2 linked regions of the Astyanax mexicanus genome follow. The protein of the gene in region 2 interacts with the protein of the main gene of each other region in a pairwise test. Links are inferred from orthologs where the notes say so. Each region holds a gene or a part of one and is shown on either strand. Other genes may lie near its edges. The genes, in order: vipas39 and vps33b.

Region 1 (11,353 bases), on a different chromosome or scaffold from region 2:
GCCAGTTAATACATCTCCACTACTGCAATCTGGATTAAAGCAGATTAAAGAGTGGGAACACACCTTACACTCCGACTTCGGTTTGCGCAGTTCTGGTGCATAAGCTCTGGTTGATGTATCAGTAAAAGCTAGGAGACACAGAAACAGAAGCAGGTCAATATAAAATATAATGAATACAATTTACTTAGTTCTGATGATGCAGGTTTAAGTTAACTCACATTCCGAAAATGACTGGAAGGGCTTGCTCTTTGCTATTGGAAGAAAAGCAATGAGTTAGAAAAAAAGCCACACATGGAGAAAAACACACACAGGTTAGTTTACTCCAATCAATACATAATGATCTATTGAGTACCTTTGAACAAGGAACTTAAGGAGTAACCAGAACCCTGTTTAGGCAACGAGGGGGCAGTGTCGATTTTTGGAAAGCTCTGTTCCCCACTGGAACGAAAGCTGGAAGCCGTCTCTTTGACTGACCAGGAGATACCTGCAAAACAACAGTAAATCCCTGTGTAAAGTCCCAATATAACAAAAGGTACATGCTAAATGGCCGTACACTCATAGGTATGTGCCCATTCAATGTTTCTTCAGAAATTAAAGGTAACAGGAACAACTTTGTGCTCCTTTTGTGTTTGGTAGTTTCTACATATCTGTGGAGGCTTTACAGTAGATGCTGAAACATTGCTGTGAGGACTTGACTGCATTCAGCCACTACAGCTTTAGTGAGGTAACGTTCTGATGATTAAACTCTTAATTACCAGCAAAGCCAGAACAGACATGTCTGGATACCTGCAGACATTTTTATAGCAGGTGTGCTCATTCCTGGTCCACAGCTGACCCAGATGATGAATACTTTATTGCATATTACAGCCAGTATGTTGAAACTGAATAGTGCAGGCTGGTAAATCTCCAGGACCAGGGATGAGCACCCTTGGTGTATATTATAAAAGAGGCAAAAAAAAAAAAAAAAAAAAACAGGGAGTGAGATTTGGCTTACTTCCAATAGGCTCCCCACTCCAGCTGACCTTCTCAACATCATCGTCGTCGTCATCATCATCAACAAGAATGCTGTTCACGGCACGCTTTGATTCTTTCATCTGAGTAAACAAGAAAACAAAGCAGAATTCCCATTTTCCAATGTTGTGGTTTACAACATTTTTTTTAATATAAAAAACCTTTGATCACTGTGATGTTTTGGAAGTTTATAAAACTTACTTGAATCATTTTTCTATACCATTATTCTGTGGTACTTTTGTCTGCTCTAAATTAAAGTTGGTTCCTAAAAAAAACATTTTTTTTCTGATCAAGATTATAACAATTTATTTTGAGATGAAGTCATGAACTTAAGGTTTGATGACAAGAAAACAGTACAGGAAAAATATATAATTTGTGGCCTTTCTGGACATTCCTGTAGTAGAGACGAATAGTGATCTTGACTTCTATTGGTTTAGGATGGAAATATGTTTACATGTTGTGTACTTGCATCAGCAAACAAGAAGGGCTTACAAACCTTTGCATCCTATTCATTTTATCTGTAAAAAAATCTAGACATAATCCTATTATATTATATGTTTCATTCATTAAAACCAAAAACAAATAAGACACGTCATACAAAATCGGCAGCAGAATAAAATAAACAATTAATTATAGTTATAGTATTATTACTACTAATAATATTTAAAAAGTTTATAATCCATGAAATGTGGAGAGATTTTATGTTTCTTCATTGACAAGTTAGACAGTACATGGTAGACATGTTGCAAATGTATGCACTGTATTTATAATCTCAGTAAATTCCATGTTCACCTTTTCCTTTTGTCTATTTTGTTCCTGGGGGCTGTAAATGCTGCTTCTAGTCTCTCTAAAATTTCTCACTAACTGAGTGGAAAACTGTATTCATAAAAAAAGTGTTTTTGCCTTAGCTTTAGAGGGGTAATCATAGCTTTCACAAATGTGTGAGAGAGAACACAAAAGCATGCCCCTGTGGGGACTGTATAGGTAGGCCAACTGAGAGTTTAAAAAAATAGGTTATACATTTAGGTTACAAAATTTACATGAAGCCTAGTTTAGACCCAATAGATATTAAGGTGGGCTGTAAGGATGGGGGTTCAGTAACAACAGATACACAGACTCACCCTTAGACCCACCTAACCCATGATCTGCCCATGTTCCACCCATGTGAGCACCACATGATCACGCAGGCCAGGCAGTTTTATATTGTTCACATTTTTACAGGGAACACAAAGGCTGTCCAAACATTAACTCATGAGAGCCCAGACACATTTTTGAATATTGATGTAAAACTTACAATTTAATAAATAAAGTGAGCAGCTCATTCATGTTTTTTCTTTTTCTGAGCACATGACTGGAAATATTTTAAGGTTCAAATCTTGATTTAACAAAGGTAAATGACACAATATTATAACTTGTATTTTAAAAGTTTGTTTTAGCAGTCATATCAGAACTATGGTTTATGGGTGGTATGACCAAAAAAAAAATCATATTTTCAATATTCTGATGGTTTCACAGTATAGCACGACATTTTTTTAATTATTTATTTATATTTTTAACACTGACTTTAATATAAGGTTGTGACTGTACTGTTTAAAACATTAAGGCTAACAAACATTAACAACTAACTACTTCTAACCTCATTTCCTTCTTACCCTCTTTTCCTCCTCAATCCCACTACTTCCCTTTGACCTCCTTTAGGCCCAACCTAAAAATGTTTTTTTTTTTTTTTTTACCTTAAACTTGCCTATTACTAAATGTACATCATTATTGAAAGTTGCTATGGACAAAAGCATCTGTCAAATGTAATGTAAAAAAGTAAACAATATATGAAGTAATCAGACTGCATTAGCAGAAAAAACAGCTAAAGAATGTAAACAATGGGCCTTAAAATGAGATACACCAACAACTTAAACACATCTTTTTTTTTTTTTATCAAAACTTAATATTTTAAATAGTTCCATAAACACTTTTAATGGAATTGAAACACTTAAAATATAAGTGTTCAAAGAGATATTTCTTACATTTTTTAATACACAAGTAAGACACAGGTTTAATATCAATTACAATATTACAATATGTTATTACTGAAGCCATTAGAAGCATTACAGTATTTACGCTGCTGTTTATCAGGTTATTATAATTCTCTTGGTTCTCCAGTTAACAAATAAATACGGTTCACTGTGCATTAATATTATCCTTTAAGCTACAGAATTAATATATTCAAAAGGGGCTATAGTTATTGGTCTAGTTTATCTTTACCTTGTATCCAGAGTTTTAGGGATTTTTTTTTCTTGTGCTGAATAAATGATTCTGTATGGAAGCCCATTTCCGCCACCTGAAGAAAAAAAAACGTCCTCAACTAAGTCATAATTATGAGATAGAAAAGTCATAATTATGGGATAGTAAGACTTAGTTGAGGACGTTTTTTTTTTCTTCAGGTGGCGGAAATGGGCTTCCATAATTCTGGGCTTGTCTGGGGGGACGAAAGGAACTTTTTTCTTAGCTTAGCAGTGTGTTTTTCGGCAGTGCTTTTCTATGCAGTGCTCTGTAGCGCCTCTAGCGGTACGTAAAAAAATAACAGCGTAAAGGATATTAAAACCGGTATTAATATCGGATGAAGCGATATACTACCCAGCACTAGGTTGAATAAAATAAAAAACACAAGCTTATTAATATGTAAAACTGTCCCGGATCATCACGAGGCTTCGCCAGTGTTGGTAAGTTAGTTATCTAGGTATATCTGCTGTATGATTTAAGGTGGAGCGCAGGAGCTGATTAACCAGTCAGTTACTAAAGCTCACCTTAGTGAACTCATCATCTTCATCATCGAAGGTGAAGGCGCTGAACTTGGAGCTGTTCCAGTACTCATCGTCCTCTGGCTTGGCTCTGCTCATCTAGACCGATATACACAGACACAGTGAACAGAGAGGAGAACACAGGAGAAGGCGCTGCTGAGCTGAACACTGTTTACATTATACTGAGGTCTCGCCTCCACTTTAATGATTAAAACCGGCTAATTCAGACAGTCTAACAGAGATTAAACAGCGGGGTTCACTAAGTACAGTATGTATTAATATCTCTCTGTGTTTATTAGTGTCTATTTCTGTATCTTTTTAACCCCGGCGCGGTCTCTCCGCTCCCAGCTGTCAGTCTGGACTAACACAGCCCTCCAGCGCTCACAGAACACAGCCGCGCCTTTATACAACTACTGTATTATCACAGAAATACATAACTACAGCCGTATGAACACACACAAGTCTTATACACTCAGATCAGACTGAGAAAGCAAGCGCTTAAAAACAGAAATCTCATGTAAGTTACCTTCGAGATTTTGCAGCCTAATCAAAACCATGAAACGTCAGCTGATCACTTCCGGGCAGCGTTGGCTCAGACACCCTCCAAAATAAAAGTCTGAAAATGAAATGTAATATTTAAATCGATGTGAGACATTTAGAGTTATTTTAAATTTATGTTACACATTTTTACAACCTACATTAACATTTTTTTATTATTTTTTACACAACAAATGTCAAATAAAGGCTGCTCTACCGAGTTACGGGTCCAAGCCTCTGATTAACACCACAGTGATATTGGTAACAGTGAGACGGGGATGGTGGCCACTGTGGCAAGGAAATACTCTTATACTAATCTCCTCTGGTTTCAAGAATCCCCCAGTACAGCAGACCTCAGACTCCTAACCTAGCTAGCTACCAAGCCTAGTGTCAACCGACACGTAAAATAATCATATGCTATTTTAGTATTCTGAATTAGGCAGGTAATGCTTGTGAATGAATAATGGAAAATAACCGATTCATTTAATGTCCAGCTGCAGCTCCAACTTGCTTCCATAATACACACCAGTTTGACAAAAAAAAAAGCACAACAGATACTCTTTTTATTGTTTGTTCAAATTTATGAGGCTAACAATTCAATAATTACAAAGATTTCAACATGTGATTTGTTTTCTTGTGAAGTAAAAGCAGTAGTGTTCTGAGAATAAAGTCCCATTTTTAAGAAGCTGAAAAGTCAAGTGGAGGGGAGAGAGGGAGGGAGGAGGGGCACAGGGAAAAGACAGGAATACCATCGACAAAATCAAAAGAAATTTCCTCGGACTAAAACATGTTCATGTGCAAGTTTCATACAGTGTTTCAGGGTGAGGGGAGGGGAACACAAAATAAAACATCACCATTAGCCTGTCTTGTTAAAAACAACTGAAATGCTTTAGCGGACAATGTGTTGCTGTAACACAGAATGGCACTGAAGGCACGCTAGTGAGAGAATGGATATGACGGTCATGCCCGCAGCTCTCGTTGTGGTGGTGTGGTGCTTTGATTCCACCACATACGTGAGAGCGCCACATTAAATGATACTGTCTACGTTCCAGAAACTCATGAAGGATAACCTGTAGTTGCTCCTTTAATGCAACAATGTAAAACCTAGGGATCGAACACGGCTATGGTGAGAATCTTAAATCACATATTTATTTCTTTACATTAGCACACAAAAGCAGCAGCAGTTTCAGAAGAACTATTGAAATCCTATGAATAGTGTGGTCCTTTAGCAGTGTGCCATTACTCTTGTTAAAACACTTACTATACGTAAAGTCTTATTTCTCTTTACTTCAGTTTCTTTACTTCTTTATGGAAATGAGCAGTGTTCCATCAGCTAAGTATTTGTTTGTCTCAAACGTCTAAGTTAAAACATGAATATTACAAAGGATGCCTGAAAAAAATGCAGACTGGGGAAGGAAAAAAACAAACAAAACAAAAAGATTTACATTACAATAAAAGTGCCCACCGGTTTGGCTTAAAATCCCCAGTCGGATAAGTGTCAATGCCTCTTTGTGACTGCTCTGACACAACTACGTAGAGAAGTGTCGCTAATACAGAATAGCAAAACGGGTTTTCATTACTGGTCCAGCTGTATTATCTGAGGGAAGGGTGTCTCCAGGTCCTCCTATCCCACATGATGAGTGATGAACACAACCACCAAATTATTACACACTTAAAAGAGGAAAGCCAGTTTTCCCCTCACTTGTCATTTTAACAGCATTTTCTGGCATTTTTATTTGCATGATTTCTAATGAGTTAAAAAAAACAACCCTCACAAGAGTATGGCATTGAGATTAAAAAAGAAAAAGAAAAAACATACTGATGATTATTAGACCCTGTTAGCTACACTACCACCTAGGCTCCAGCAGGGGGCAGTCATTATATGCATCCAGAGGCCATACTTGGCTGGAGCTTTGATTCTCATACTGGCCGGCATGAGCCAGACATCACACTCCACTAGGAACACATCACAGAAGTTTTTCCGACAGCGGTTCAGTATCCCAGTTCCATCCAGGGTATGTTTTATAATTCTCTTGGCAAGCAGCCTGGAGAGCAGAGAGTTTTGGCTGCAAAGGTGGCGCAGGTGTGTGGAGATACGAACTGTGAGATGAGAGTTCGAATGTTGGCACTTTGTAGCAAATTCTAGCGGAGCGGAGAGCTGGGGGCGGGGGCAATGTGTATTAAAAGTGAAGGTGTGCGCCGAAGCAGGGTGATGTTCGTTCTCAGCCATCCAGAGTATGCTCCAGACCATCCAGGGTGAGCTGGCTGCGATGCGGAGAGTTGGGGCTGGGGGGACTGCTGGGGTTAGAGCTGTTGGAAGGGGTGGAGTGTTTGGTGGAGTCTGAGTCAGGCTGCAGAGAAAGACATGAAGGAAAAAATGAGACTAGATAAAGGTGATCCTAAGCAAGGCTGAAATTACAAAATAGTGAATGTGCAACAGAGCCTGAGGGTTTACTGTTGCTGTGCTTCTGACAATGAGAACTGGGGCAGTTATTGCTGAACATAAAACAAGGGCACCCAAAAACAACTGGAATGGAACATTTTCCTGTACCCGAGGTCAGCATATGATCAAAGCTTGTAAAAGCAGCAATGAATCAAGTAAAGAACAGCCTTTTTTTTTACCTCTCTCTCGAAGTCCTGATCTGGATCTGAGATGTTGCGAGATGACCCAGCTCCAATAAAGTCACCACCCCCTATAGATACAAGCATGATCAATAAACTATAACTAAGGAAAACACCCTTTCAATAGAAAAGACACATAAAAGTACTAACATGGATGGTGAGAGATTACTAACCGGAGGCAGTGCGTGTGATGTGGGTCTTACTCCATTGTTGTCGTGAAATACTAGATAGGGGACGTGGCTTGTCTTTAATTGAGTCATCCTGAGAAGAGGGCATCACACTCTGTAGCAGTGAGCACAAATACCGGCATTAGATGCAGAGGAAAGTTTCATAGCCCTTACCTATTCTACTCCTAAAACCAGCATGGTTTCAGACATCTTTAACCATTAATAAGTCAACTTCATGTCTTCAATTTCAATTTCATAGTGCAACAAATCATTAGTAAAAAGCTGAATTATAAATCAGTCAGAATGACCAAATAGTTAGCTGTAGAATATTAACCGAATAAATCCTCATACTTTAATATAATTATATCAGATTGTAGTTTAGAGTACTGTACACATTCAAAATTATATATACATTAAAACCACCCAAAATGTCAAAAACTTCTTTCCATTTTTAATATAGCTTCTTTTTTAAGAGATTTTTTTTTCCTCAGCAGTGCGTGTATGAAGATCTATATGAAATAAGCCATTTCTTTAAAGGTCACCTTCCGTCGTTTTTTTCTTTCATTTTAAAATGTCTAGTTGTGGTCTCTAGTATGAATGAATGACATGTGAGCCGTTTTTGTAAAAAAAAAGTGCTCAGGTGTCTCTGTATAGCTCTTTTCTAATGGACTGTTTTAGGGGTGTGTCCAAAATGACCGGATTCCAGCTTTGCTCATGAATATTCATACATGCAAACAGAATGCAAATATCTCTCCTCTGATTGGCTAGGAGCACTGCGACGCCCCTCCACCGCTCTGCCGCTCACTGCCTCCCACCTCCTAACTGATGAGCGGTGATGTTGCGTCGCTTCAGCTCCGCCTCTGGGAGTTTCTCGAGCCAAGGTGGGCTGGTCTGTGAGTTTCTGCCTACGTAGGCAGAAAGATAATTCAAAATTCACCCGTTTTTCGGAGGGGGGGAGGGGGGATTTCTTTGCTTAGCTCCTGCAGACAATGGGGGCTGCAAAACAGTTTAATGTGCAGGTGTACACATTCAACTCGGAGAGACCTACTGTATTCCACAAAAAACAAGAAAAATCGGATTTTCGCGGAAGGTGACCTTTAAAACTTAAAGGAACGTCAAGGAAAGTCAAACTGCTGCATTGTACAGCAATATATATCATGTACTTGTTAATGTACAATAGAAATGGTCATACACGAACACTATAATATACGCTAAGTAAAACCCTAAGTAAGAGTACTTAACGTGAATAATTTATGTCTGGCTGATATCTGGTCTAGTATGTCCAATATCAACCTGACTGGTGGGTCACAGCTCATGTCTATCTAGTAAGTCCGATATAAGCGAAAGCTTAAATTGAAAATTGGCTCCTTATTTCTGTCCTGCTTTTCAGCTGATTAACAAGGTCCATTTATAGCATGAACTGAGCAACACTAGCCTCTGTGGAAAGGGTGTAAAAGGGTGGAATACTGAAAAAGAGTTGTGATATTTTATGTTTTGCAAAACTGTATCAATTCACAATTTCTATCAATTAATAACATGTAAAGATTAGTGCCTGTTAGAGGTTTATTTTCTGTTGTGTTTAAACCATGACCACTAGATAGCATGGTTGTACTCTGTAATAATCATGTGTCCTCAGATCCCATTGTTCTGATTTTGTACAGTGATTTTACGCACATGATGGTGTGTTTTTGATACACAGGACAGTTTAATTTGAAAGAAAGTTGCAATCTACCACCTTGTGTACAGTATGTTGAATGGTAACACTCCCTGTACCGTGCAAATGCACAGACCTACCACACCTTTGAGGAATTAAACAAGAAGGAAAGGAGAAAAGGGGATGATAAAACAGGGAGATAGCAGAAAAGAGAAAATAAAGAAAGTTTGGGAGGGGAGATTTTAAAGAAAGAGCAGATGGAAAGAGGGAAAAGGGTGCTAGCCTACCCTTCCGAGGGAGGAGGTGGAAGGTGAGGAGGAAGAGGAGGAGAGCTGTGGAAGGCTCTGCTGCGAGGAGGGCTCTTTCTGCAGATAAAGCCCGGCAGAGACGGAACTCATGTGATAGACGTGCTCAAAGTTGGTTGGAGGAGAGATCAGGGCGTGGTGGCGAGAGGATGAGGGGGAAGGAGTCTCGCTCGGCTGCTGCCGTGGCAACGAGAGACCAGGGTAAATCCACAACCACAAAGGGGGTAAGAGAGAAGAAGAGGGGTGAAAAAGAAAGGAGGAAAAGGGTTGGAGGGTGAAAAGTAGAAGTTACTACTCAACGGAAAAGAGAAGAGAAGGTGAGCAGAGAAGGGATGAGTTGTACAATGCAGTGAAAGAGAAGGTGAGAGTGACTCTAGAAGTCTCGATGGAATTTTAAATGTACCAACGTGCCTAATTAGGACTGTAGAGCTATTGCAGAATATGTGGCTCTCAGAAGAAAATGCTACAATTTTAGATATATGTGCACTATATATGTCAACACTAATGAGTGCTGATGAAACATCAGAACCTTCTCAGTTCACCTAAACTGAAAAAAAAAAACTAGCAGTAATTTCTTCTTTGCTGTTTTACAATAAATCCTGCAATTCTTCTGTGATCTAACCCAGCATAATATAAAGCCATTACCAGTGGCAGGTCCATGAGGACTTGCATCCCATCTCCTGGACCCATGTGGGCCACGTGGTTGAAGTTAGTGGGATTAGAGATCAGCTTCGACCTCATTTCTGGGTCCCTCAGCATCTCCCTGTTATATAGACAGAAATGAAACCAATCAACCACTGGCTCTAAAGGACTAGATGATGAGAACATGGTCATTAACGTGAAAAGATGGGACAGATCTCTTACCGCCTCTGCTGTATTCGCTCCTCCTCAGGCACCTTGAAGAGGAATTTCCTTTTGCTGCGTGTTCTCACCATGAGTTTCTTACTATTGTCTGATGTCTCAGGGATGGCCAGATCATAACCTTCTGTACACACAATGAAGTAAGACAAAGTCAGAAAAGAGAAATGAGGAAACGTTTGATCCATGGGGGCAACTCAGATTAAGTTTGTCTTTTTTTCAGTTTATAAGAGGATGCTAAAGTAATGTTACTTACAAACACCTTTTGTTTTTTTAGACCATTGTAAATCACAATGAAATACTGTTTGCCTCAAACAAATAAGCTCTGGATGCTTTTTGAATGAGCTAATTGCTGAATGCAATCAAATCCTCACAGCAATGCTCTAAGATCTAGTTAAAATGTAATTTTTAATAACCTTAATTTCTGAAGAAACAAAAAATTAGCAAATGTCCCAATACTTATGTACATAAAGTATTTTCTAATGTTCAATTAAAAAAACTGACAGAGATGTAATAATAAAAACTAATGTAAAATCAACATTATACCACAGTTAGTTCCGAACCTGCAATGTGATTGGCTAAGAGGCGTGACATTATTAGCCAGTAATGCACTGTAACTTAAGCTCTCCATGTGTTACTCCCCCACATACAGGTAACCTAGCAACGATACAAGCCAAACCGCGCAGCTACAAACAGAGCAGCAATGAAACTATTTTAACTCGTTTTTATAAACAAACAAATCGTATTTTCTCATCCTCTTTAAATCAAAATATTTCAATAAACAGTGATAATGGAACTGTGGTATAATCACAATAATACACTTTAGGTTTGTGCTATAACGTGTAATATTGGCACTGTTGTGCTGATCTACAGTACTCGGCCCACCAGTGCCAATATTACACGTTATAGCACAAACCCAGAGTGTATTATTGCTTAATTTTGAAATTATGGCATCTTTACCGAGCTTTCATGTTCGTCAGCTTTGAACTGTTGCAACATTTAATGAACACACATAAAAAGTAAAAATTCCCACATGTCACACAAATTGTTACTACTATAAACAAATATAGAACTTTTCCAACCCCACCTAGAGTATATCAGATGCACATCACCACCTAGTGTACCAAAGCAGCAACAGTTCCAAGGTTATTCCTTAACTGTTAAACTGGTTTATGCCAATAAATCATTTAAATATTATGATCTCAAAAGTGCATAGATAATAACTAAAGATTTTGAATCGCCCAGCACTACAATGCCTTCGCTATTGGACTTGCCTTTGTTTATGACCTACAAGGCAGTTAGGAGTGAAAGCATATGGATCAGTCATGGTCAACACTGGCAGGCGCCCTGGAGGAGGTGTGATGAATGAGGTCATTTCAGTTTACCAAACAGAAGTGCCATTAT
Region 2 (11,425 bases):
ATTGCTTAGATTATTATTTATTGCTCATAATTTGTCAAACCATCAGCATCTGTGAAATTAAAAGACCTGAAAAAAACGCTGATCTGCTGATCGGGATCAGAGTCTGATTGCGCAGCAGAAAATGATTTTAAAATCTTAAGATTGAATCTTTTCTGAATCAAAAGCTTCACTTCTTCCGTCACTAAACGTTACACTCACCTTTCCTCAACATCTTCTGATACACGGTTCTGGAGCCGCCGAAGACGAGGGTCCGACACTTCCTCCTCCTCCATTTCCATTTCCTGTTCCGCCTCTTTTCCCTTCTTAACGAACTGGAAATCTTCCTCCTCTTCGTCTGACGATTCCATCGGAGCGTAATCAGGACGCTTCCCCGAAACGTAGCGCTTCACCTTCACCTTCTCCATAGAGATCTCACCTGGAGGAACACAGAGGAACATTAAACACAAAGCTAAACATCTTTAAAGCTCTATATTATATATTACTTTATATAAAAAGCTTAATGAGTAAAGCCGGCCAATATAACTATATTAATGTCTACTGCAGTAAACTCTGTATATTTCATAAAACGCTTTATTGTGTAAATCTTATATTCGGCACTAAAAACACACTAAACAAGTGCTTGTTTAAGATTTTTACCCAAATATTAAATATAAGCTAAATGGATTTAATCAGTGCAGGGTGTGAACAAAACTGTCAGGACTAAATAAGATTATAATGTAAAACAGTCTCTAGCAGTGATGCGTTCACCCTGACATTTTTATCCCCCTTTTCATTTGATACAGTGTAAAGTATTTAGTGTACAGCTACAACATAAACATTGTACATTTACTGTTCCCTCAAAATAACTTAAAACACACATTAATGTCTAAACAGTGCAACAAAAGTGATACAGCCCACAGTGAACACGGCCAAACTGTACCTAATTATCAATTTTCCCTCCCCGAGGTCATGTGACTCGTTAGTGTTAGAAGGTCTCAGGTGTGAATGAGGAGCAGGTCTGTTTTAGGTTAAATTCCCTCAGACTGACCACTGGATATTCTACATGCCACCTCATGGTAAAGAACTGTCTGAGGATGTGTAGCTCTGCATAAAGATGGTCTATTCTATAAAAAGATTTCTAACACCCTGAAACTGAGATACAGCAGTTTTCCAGGACGGGTTCCACTCAGAACAGACCTCTCCAGGGTTCACCAGAGAAGCTGGGTCCTCGTGTTCAGTGTAATATTCAGAGGTTGGCTCATAAAAACATTAATAGCTGTACTGAGTGCTGCCAGTTTTGCTGCAGAGGTTGAAGAGGTTTGAGGTCAGCCTGCAGTGTTCAGACCATACACCACACACTCCATCAACTCTGTCTGCATGGCTCTGTCCTAGAAGGAGGACTCTCCTGAAGCTGATGCACAGGTAAGGTGATGGTAAAGGTGAAGGACTGGCCAAGTATGCCTACAGACCTAACGCCTACTGAACATCTGTGGGGCATCCTTTAACTGGAACCTGGAGGTCTCAAACATCCACCTATCAGATCACTGATGTCGTCATAGAAGAGGATTTCAGTGGAAACCCGTGGCGCTCTAGTGAACTCACGTTCAGGTGAGTTAAAGGTCTGCTGAATAATATCTGTGATTTAAAAAAATATTATATACGCTTTGGGCACAATTGGTTTATTTTCACTAAGGAGTATCCTCATCATTTAGACACTAATGTGTGTGTTGAGTTATTTTGAGGGAACAGAAAATTGACACTGTTATACTGAAGTTGTACACTGATTACTTTACACTGTATCAGAGAGTCTCATCTTCTGTTTCTCAAGAAAACATATAAAATATTTACAGTAGTATGAGTTTATTCACTTCTGTGAGCCACTGGACAGTATATGATTAAGGATATTTATACTGTATTGTGACAATTTCAAACACTAATCTTTACAGTTTATGGATTAAAGCTGTTTAATTTATAACATATATAAATAATTTACCCATAACATACATACATTTAACATATGTAAATATAGCACATATTAACAAATTAATTATTAAACTACTTAATTAAACCTAGAATACAGTCAAACAATACAACTACTGACATAAAGGGATTTTAAACCGATGTATAACCCGTGATTAGGGTTTAAACTGAATTTTAAACCGGTTTATTGTGATTGCGCTGTTAGCTTTAGCCCTGATGCTAATGTTAGTATTACCTTTCTCGTTGCGGATCGGAACCGCCCCGGCGGTGGACTGGATCGGCGGCTGCTTCATGTTCAGCGCGTTCTGAGCGGACATTCTGAATCCGGTTAATAAACAGATTAATAGTAATAATATTAATATAAATGTTTATTAATCCGCCGCGGCTCCTGGTTACTCTCCTCTACACACCGCGGGCGGGTACAGCTCTTATATCCGCTCCGACTGGAAACAAAACCCGAACCCTGCAGTTCCTCCCGCTGCTTCTCTCAGGTTTATGGGGGGCGGATCCGCTAAAGGTGCAGTACCGCCCCCTGCTGATCCACAGGCATAGTGAGCTACAGTGTGACGTCATCATAAAGAAAAAAAAAACTTCCAAACAAAAGCAGAAGAACCGGTTTATTCACTTCACCCAGAACTCCTTCAGTCTCTACTGTGACTCTGAGCTGGAAGTGTATTTATACATTAAACTTGAGTCTTTTTACAGTGAGTTCACTCTGATCATCCTCCACCCTCACCCACCTCCACCCTCAACCCTCTCCACCCTCACCCACCTCCACCCTCTCCACCCTCACCCACCTCCACCCTCACCCACCTCCACCATCTCCACCATCTCCACCCTCACCCACCTCCACCCTCACCCACCTCCACCATCACCCACCTCCACCCTCTCCACCCTCACCCACCTCCACCCTCACCCACCTCCACCATCTCCACCCTCACCCACCTCCACCCTCTCTACCCTCGCTGAGCTCTTTTAGTTCAGAACTTTCAGATATGTTTCACCCTGAAACTCCAACAATCTGACACCAAACAAAACCTGCAAGTCCACTAAATGTACATATAAAAAAAATTACTTTTTTTCCACTGATGTAATTATTAAAATCTTTATTTCCTGGATATCAGCAGGATTTACAGAGTAAATTATAACACATATTATTACATTTCTAAGTACAGTACAGTACACGGTCTGGACTTTACAGCAATAAAGAGAAGAGAAGTGAGAGCCCTGAGAACAGTATAGAGTATAGAGTGTAAAGTAAAGTAAAGAGTAGAGTAGAGTATAGAGTAGAGTAGAGTATAGAGTAAAGAGTATAGAGTAGAGTATAGAGTAGAGTATAGAGTAGAGTATAGAGTAAAGAGTATAGAGTAGAGTATAGAGTAGAGTAGAGTAGAGTATAGAGTAGAGTAGAGTAGAGTATAGAGTAGAGTAGAGTATAGAGTAGAGTAGAGTATAGAGTAAAGAGTATAGAGTAGAGTATAGAGTAGAGTAGAGTATAGAGTAGAGTATAGAGTAGAGTATAGAGTAGAGTAGAGTATAGAGTAGAGTATAGAGTAAAGAGTATAGAGTAGAGTATAGATGAGTACAGGGGTGAATTAGAGTTAGATCTTGACGCCTCTCTCAGTGAAGAGCTGCTGCAGTTTTTCCTCCAGAACCGGATTCGTCCCACGCAGTCCTTTCACCACCTGCCCCGCCCACAGGAAGTACTCCTGAACCCGCTCAGCCGTCCAACCTGATACACACACACACACACACTTATAATTACACATCAATCAAGCAGAATATTATGACCACTGCAGTGATACTGAGGTGTTTAAAAACTCCAGCAGCACAGCTGTATCTGATCCACTTACTGTACCAGCTCAACACTCACTAACACCTCATACACCACCACCATGCTAATCACTGCAGTGCTGAGAATAACCAGCCAAATAATGATAATAATTACAACAATAATAATAATAATAATTATAATAATAATTACAATAATAATAATAATAATAATAATAATAGCTGCTCTGTGGTGGTTTTCTATGCTGTGGGTTCTGAATTAGGAGGAGAATAATAAAGATAAATACAGAGAAACACAAACAGTCTGTAATTATTATAGAACTACTGAATAAATAAAGGAATAAAGGGTTTTGGGGTTGGGGTGAGGGTTGGGGTTGGGTACCCTGTGGGGTGCAGCGGTTCAGGTCCCGCAGGTTGTAGAGTTTATCGGCGAGTTTGACGAGTTTGGCCTGGCGGCTGCAGTTCGGCGCGTGTTCAACCTGCTGCCGCTTTCTCTCCAGTTTAGGAAGAGCTTTATTATCCGTCACTTCCTGAACGATCCTCGCCACCGTGCTCCCGAACGCCGCCTCCAGCTCCTCCAGCGTCGTCTCCGTGTCCTCCACCGTATCGTGAAGGAGCGCCGCCTGAATAACAGACCGTTCAGTTATTAATTAATATCTCATTTACCTGTCACTCTGTTTTGACTGGTACTGTATAATAATATATTTTAAGCAGTATATTACATGTGTTAATAATATATGTTTATATTACATATATAATCTTTTGGCCAAGTTGACCCAGTATACTGTAAAACGTTTTTGCTACATAACTTTGTTTTAATTTAACAACTTTAATCGATCAGGACTCGCCTGTAAAACTTCAATATCTGTGATTCCGCCTTCATGACTCAAAATCCGCGCCACCCCTGTAAAAAGATCAGAGTGTAGATTAAACGTATTTATACAAATTCAACAGACAACATCATTATTTCAGCATTAATCAGTGATTTATATAGAAATAAAGAGTTGGGAGTGATCTGGTTTAACATGACTAAAGTTTGGTTGAGGGGGATTATGATCATGGTGTGGGGTTGTTTTTCAGAAGTTAGGCTCCGCCCCTTAGTCCCAGTGAAAGAAATTCTTAATGTTTAAACAGACCAAGATATTTTAGATTTCATGCTCCCAACTTCCAGAGGAGGTTTGGGGACGACCCCTTCCTGTTCCAACATAACTGAGCACCATAAAGATCATAACTCCATAAAGACCTGGATGAGCTGGACAAACACTCTTCTGGAAGAATGGTGAAAAATTCCCATAAACACACAAACACACTCCTAAACCTTGTGGAAAGCCTTTCAGAAGAGCTGAAGCTGTAAAAGTTTAACTGAGTTTTACACTAATCTGTATCTCAGGATGTGAAAAGTGTAACTAACACTAAATCAAACTCTGATAAACTGTACTGTAGAGTAGTGTAATGTAATGTATTGATAACTTTATTATTAATTTTATTATGAGTTATTGTGTACGGGGTGGTGAGTTACCGATGGGGTGGTTGATGTACGGAGTTTGCTCCGGATCTTTACGGCGTTGATTACGATGTTTCTCCGCAGCGAAGTTTATCGTCTCCAACAGAATCACAGCGTCTGAACTCATTTCTACACTTAGAAATAAATAATATAAAATAAAACAATATTAAAACTTCAACATTTTTCAGACACTTTTTTTCTGTGAACAGTGACAGAATTTAATTCAGTTTACTGAGCTGAACAGCAGAACTCTGTGCTTCTTAACCTTTTCTATAAGAGTATTTTATTTATTTCAGCTTTAAAATGTTTTATTCTGTAACCCTGAATCAAATCTAATTTAATTTGGGTTTAATTTTTTGCATTTTAAACATCTTTATGTATCAGCCTTAACAAATATATACATTAAACACTAAGTTACATATTAGTATTGATCTCAGTATTGATCTCAGTATTGATCTCAGTAATCTCCACAGGTCAGTAAATCTCTACTTCTTTATACTGGATTTTAAATCATAGCTGAATTTACTGTAATGAGAAATACACTGCATTTCTACACGAGATCTGCTGTAGTTTTACTGCTTTAAACAAATATTAGTTCACAGACTTAACTATACAACTTGTGTTTAAACTGTTTTTAAAATAAACAATAAATCAATTTTACAGTTTAGTTAAAGGACTGATTTCTGTTTCTGAGCTCAGAAAGATAAATAACCCAGATTATCAGCGGTTAAACAGAATAAAAAGCGGTTTTTATTCTGCGGTTAAATCAGTTAAAAAATAAAAGTGTGTAAAATAATAAAATAAATAAATCAGTTTAAATCTCGGAACCATTAACTATTATTACATGAGAAACTAGACCGAGAAATAAACTCAGTAAAATCACTCACCTGTTACAGATTATACTCCTGCTGTGATTCGGATTATTAAAGGTTTATTAAGTTTTATTTTATTAAGTTAAATCTGTGATTATTTTTAGCTCCTCTGAGGCGCTGCTGTTTCTGCTAAAGCTGATTTATAGCGAGACCGCTCACTTCCGGTATAACAGGAAATCCCTGCGCACCAATAGAGGGAGCCCGGGGGGGGGGTGTGAATAATTACTTAATTTATATAATTGTATACAGCAGAATAATGTACTTTACATCGTTACTGTATACTTTAGTTTATTTATGCAGTAAACAGGTTTTAGGCGCTGCAGTGCTGCTACTGTGAGCTGATTGATTAGTGAGCTGTTGCTCGAGTTGCAGTCAGAGCACCAATAAAAGACATAACCTTAAAAATTATGTTATCGATGCTGAAACTTGTGAAATTGTTCTGTGTTTCAGTATAAAAAATTTAAACTTTTATGAACTCTGTTTTTTGCTCAGTTGACCCATAATAATCTATTAATATCGGACTCCCTCAGGAGCGCCCTCTAGTGTCAGACAGACCCTGAACACTCCGCAGTGACTCCTCTCCTCGCTATAGGATCTCTGTTCTGCAGTGTGCGCCGCTGTAACGGGTCCGTGCGGAAACAAACTGCTCTGAATTCCATTTCTTCCGGAAACGGGGAGGAGGTGAGGCAGCTGCTGTATGTTATGTATAATATTTTAGATTTAATATTTTAGATTTATTAGGATTTAAAAGCTTCAGATAATTACATTTACATATAATATCTTTCATCAGATGGATAATGTGATTAATTATGGATAAAATCGAGAAAATGTTCCAAAAAATCCGGATATGCCGCTAAATCCATCTGTCAGTTTCTGCAGTAAAGAGAGATGTTTATATTTCTGTGTTTGTCTTAATTTTTATATTATTATGAGTCTCGCGCTTTAGCACTGCTGTGTTCTGTCTGTGAGCCGTTAAATTACATTTGTGTAAATGCTGTCTTGATGTAATTGATGTAATTGATGTTGTTGATGTAATTGATGTTATTGATGTAATTGATGTTGTTGATGTAATTTATGTAATTACTGTTATTGATGTAACTATGTAATTACTGTTATTGATGTAATTGATGTAATTACTGTTATTGATGTGATTATGTTGTTGATGTAATTGATGTAATTGATGTATGTAATGCAGGCGGCTGCAGTGAGGGGGCGCTGTGCTGGATGTCTGATGGCTCAGTCAGGGAGGAGAGACGCTCCGGAGCTTCCGGACTTTTCCCTGCTGAAGAGACTGGCCCGGGACCAGCTCATCTACCTGCTGGAACAGGTAACCAGTATAACCAGTATAAACCCAGTATAACCAGTTTAAACCCAGTATAACCAGTTTAAACCCAGTATAACCAGTATAACCAGTATAAACCCAGTATAACCAGTATAACCAGTATAACCAGTTTAAACCCAGTATAACCAGTATAACCAGTTTAAACCCAGTATAACCAGTATAACCAGTATAACCAGTTTAAACCCAGTATAACCAGTTTAAACCCAGTATAACCAGTTTAAACCCAGTATAACCAGTTTAAACCCAGTATAACCAGTATAAACCCAGTATAACCAGTTTAAACCCAGTATAACCAGTTTAAACCCAGTATAACCAGTTTAAACCCAGTATAACCAGTTTAAACCCAGTATAACCAGTTTAAACCCAGTATAACCAGTATAAACCCAGTATAACCAGTTTAAACCCAGTATAACCAGTTTAAACCCAGTATAACCAGTTTAAACCCAGTATAACCAGTTTAAACCCAGTATAACCAGTATAACCAGTTTAAACCCAGTATAACCAGTTTAAACCCAGTATAACCAGTATAAACCCAGTATAACCAGTTTAAACCCAGTATAACCAGTTTAAACCCAGTATAACCAGTTTAAACCCAGTATAACCAGTTTAAACCCAATATAAACCCAGTATAACCAGTTTAAACCCAGTATAACCAGTATAAACCCAGTATAACCAGTTTAAACCCAGTATAACCAGTATAACCAGTTTAAACCCAGTATAACCAGTTTAAACCCAGTATAACCAGTTTAAACCCAGTATAACCAGTTTAAACCCAATATAAACCCAGTATAACCAGTATAAACCCAGTATAACCAGTTTAAACCCAGTATAACCAGTTTAAACCCAGTATAACCAGTATAAACCCAGTATAACCAGTATAGCTGTGGGCAGTGCTGATGGTGCTGTGGCCGGAGTTGTGGGCGGTGCTGGTGATGATGTGGGCGGAGCTGTGGGCGGTGCTAATGGTGCTGTGGGCGGGGCGGTGGGTGGAGCTGATGGTGTGTTTGTTTTATAGCTGCCTGGGAGGAAGGACTTGTTTATCGATGCTGATCTGATGAGTCCACTCGACCGAATAGCCAACGTCACCACGCTAAAGGTAAACACACCATCACCAATACTCAACCCCTCAATACTCAACCCCTCAATACTCAACCCCATCAATACTCAACCCCTACAATACTCAACCTCCTCAATACTCAACCCCTCAGTACTCAACCCCTCAATACTTAACCCCTCAATACTCAACCACTCAATACTCAATCCACTCAATACACAACCCCCTCAATACTCAACACACTCAATACTCAACCCCATTATACTCAACCCCTCAATACTCAACCCCTCAATACTCAACCCACTCAATAATCAACCCCTTAATACTCAACCCCTCAATAATCAACCCACTCAATACTCAACCCCTCAGTACTCAACCCCTCAATACTTAACCCCTCAATACTCAACCACTCAATACTCAATCCACTCAATACACAACCCCCTCAATACTCAACCCACTCAATACTCAACCCCATTATAATCAACCCCTCAATACTCAACCCCCCAATACTCAACCCCCCAATACGCAACCCCCCAATACTCAACCCCCCAATACGCAACCCCTCAATACTCAACCCCTCAATACTCAACCCCCTACTCATACAGGTTCAGTACAGTTCAGGGGGCGGAGTTTAAATCATTACATTTGTCTTTTTCTTTTTCAGCAACATGAAGTGGATAAATTATATAAAGTGGAGCTGAAGCCGATCGTCAGCACTGCAGATCAGTGAGTTTAATTCTGCATTTTAAAGAATAAATTCATTAATATCTGATTTATTAATACAGTATTTTCTGTTTTTAGGCTCTGCTTTTTGATACGACCTCGGATACAGACAGTAAAATGGATCTCAGGTTTGATCTGAATTCACTTTAAACAGCAGTTCTGTAGAGATAAATAAACATTAGCAGTAATATTAATATTAATATTATTACTATTTAATTTGAATGTTTGCAGATGTAGTTAACCTGGATAAGGCAGCTGGAAGATTGAGAAGATATAAGATCATATTTACCCCTCAGAAGGTAAGAGATAATATTTCATATCTTATATTTATAATTTAGGGCTTATAATTCAATATAACACAGTATAATGAGATACTGTAATCAGGGGGATTGTTTAATGTTAGCTGAAATGTAGAACAGTTATCTTAATTAAAAGTTGAGATTTTATCCAATTAGAATAGTGGGATCTAACCCCAGAGTGCAACACTAGTGGAGGCGGGGCTTAAACACAACACTAAACCCACTAAGAGAATTTATACAGTATAATGTTGCGCTGTTAGCTGCTGCAGCAGAACTGGTGTTTAGTGCTCTCCTCCGAGCGTGTTCACTGATGAAGCTGCAGTGATTGGTCACATGATCGCGGCTGGGATTAATCGTGTTAAGATGTGAAAATGGTGAATATTCTAATGTGATGTTCTGCAGTTCTACGTGTGTGAGGCGGTTCTGGAGGAGCAGGGGGTGTTCGGGGGTAAGTGCTCTAAATTCACCTCAGATGTACCCTCAAATAAACAGAAGATTAAACACTGAATTACTCGTTTTATTTGATGTTATTTTTTGCAGATGTGACGTGTGATGAATGGGCTTTTTATCTCCTCCCGCTGGATGATGACATCATAAGTCTGGAGCTTCCTGAGTTCTTCAGAGAGAATTTTCTGGTAATGTTTTACTGATGTCGGCTGATTGTGTTCAGTGGAGGTTCAGAGGTCAGGTTTTAAGGTTTTACATCATTATTTATCAAACTGTTTTTTACAAAGACTGTTCACAGCTTTAAATAATCTTTATTAAATAATCAGATTAAATACAGTAATAAAGCTGCTGAAACTAATTAAAATAATAAAAATGAGCTTAAATCAATGAATTATAAAAGTAGCACAGCCAGTGTTGTTTGGATTTTTTCCAGCGAACAATAAATAAATCAGCAAATATATATGTTTCAGATATCGACCAAATCTCAACATAAAAAAAACTGTATAATTCTGATATCATAATGCCCTCTCCTAATTATTAATTGACACGAGATAAATCATTAATAATCATTACAATAGTCATTATTTTTTTAACTAATGTCTCGATTCAAAATATCTTTTTGTGTTGTTTAATAGTTAATCAAATTACACATGATTTTGATTGTTGATCAGCTGTATAATATAATCTGTTTTGATTAAACACTCATCCTGTATTGAGGTATTATTGTGTATTGTTGTCAGTTGTTTTGTATTGTTGTTTATGGTTATGTATTATTGTGTGTGTGTGTGTGTGTGTGTAGGAGGGGGATCAGCGGTGGGTGGGCGCGGCCGGCGGTGCGTTACGGCTGATTCACTCTCTATACGGACCTTTCTCTAAGGTTTATGGGATTGGGCAGTGCGCCAAGGTGAGATCTAATATTATATTCAGTATATTCTGTATTTTGGGTGTTTCTCAGTGTAATCCGGGTCTGTGTAATCCAGGTCTGTGTAATCCTGGTTGGTGTAATCCGGGTCGGTGTAATCCGGGTGGTGTAATCCGGGTCGGTGTAATCCGGGTCGGTGTAATCCGGGTCGGTGTAATCCGGGTCGGTGTAATCCGGGTCTGTGTAATCCTGGTTGGTGTAATCCGGGTCGGTGTAATCCAGGTCGGTGTAATCCGGGTCGGTGTAATCCGGGTGGTGTAATCCGGGTCTGTGTAATCCTGGTTGCTGTAATCCGGGTCGGTGTAATCCGGGTCGGTGTAATCCGGGTGGTGTAATCCGGGTCGGTGTAATCCGGGTCGGTGTAATCCGGGTCGGTGTAATCCGGGTCTGTGTAATCCGGGTCGGTGTAATCTGGTGTAATCTGGTGTAGATGGTGTACGAGTCGTGGAGGGAGCAGGTGGAGGACGGAGAGCAGAAAACTCAGCAGCCTGAGATCGGAAACGTTTTCCTGA

What was found.
Region 1: the proteins of vps33b (region 2) and vipas39 interact in binary tests that used the Homo sapiens proteins (3 or more experiments, as listed by UniProt). The link is inferred for Astyanax mexicanus from reciprocal best matches to the Homo sapiens genes VPS33B and VIPAS39.

What each region holds. Positions count from the first base shown.
Region 1 is NC_064408.1:71,537,042-71,548,394, reverse strand, and holds the start of vipas39 (spermatogenesis-defective protein 39 homolog), read right to left. Parts: upstream 4,434-11,353; 5' UTR 4,333-4,433; intron 3,906-4,332; coding exon 3,813-3,905; intron 1,095-3,812; coding exon 995-1,094; intron 485-994; coding exon 353-484; intron 252-352; coding exon 219-251; intron 129-218; coding exon 64-128; intron 1-63. Other genes in the region: cdc42bpb (serine/threonine-protein kinase MRCK beta), read right to left, coding at 6,566-6,694, 6,966-7,036, 7,139-7,247, 9,074-9,268, 9,737-9,854, 9,956-10,076.
Region 2 is NC_064430.1:133,258-144,682, forward strand, and holds the start of vps33b (vacuolar protein sorting-associated protein 33B), read left to right. Parts: upstream 1-6,680; 5' UTR 6,681-6,807; exon of another isoform or gene 6,808-6,821; intron 6,822-7,321; 5' UTR 7,322-7,357; coding exon 7,358-7,453; intron 7,454-8,483; coding exon 8,484-8,564; intron 8,565-9,186; coding exon 9,187-9,248; intron 9,249-9,323; coding exon 9,324-9,373; intron 9,374-9,476; coding exon 9,477-9,544; intron 9,545-9,946; coding exon 9,947-9,992; intron 9,993-10,084; coding exon 10,085-10,179; intron 10,180-10,790; coding exon 10,791-10,895; intron 10,896-11,343; coding exon 11,344-11,425. Other genes in the region: mfap1 (microfibrillar-associated protein 1), read right to left, coding at 199-415, 2,195-2,276; hddc3 (guanosine-3',5'-bis(diphosphate) 3'-pyrophosphohydrolase MESH1), read right to left, coding at 3,561-3,691, 4,133-4,373, 4,599-4,654, 5,270-5,381. UniProt on the Homo sapiens protein: May play a role in vesicle-mediated protein trafficking to lysosomal compartments and in membrane docking/fusion reactions of late endosomes/lysosomes.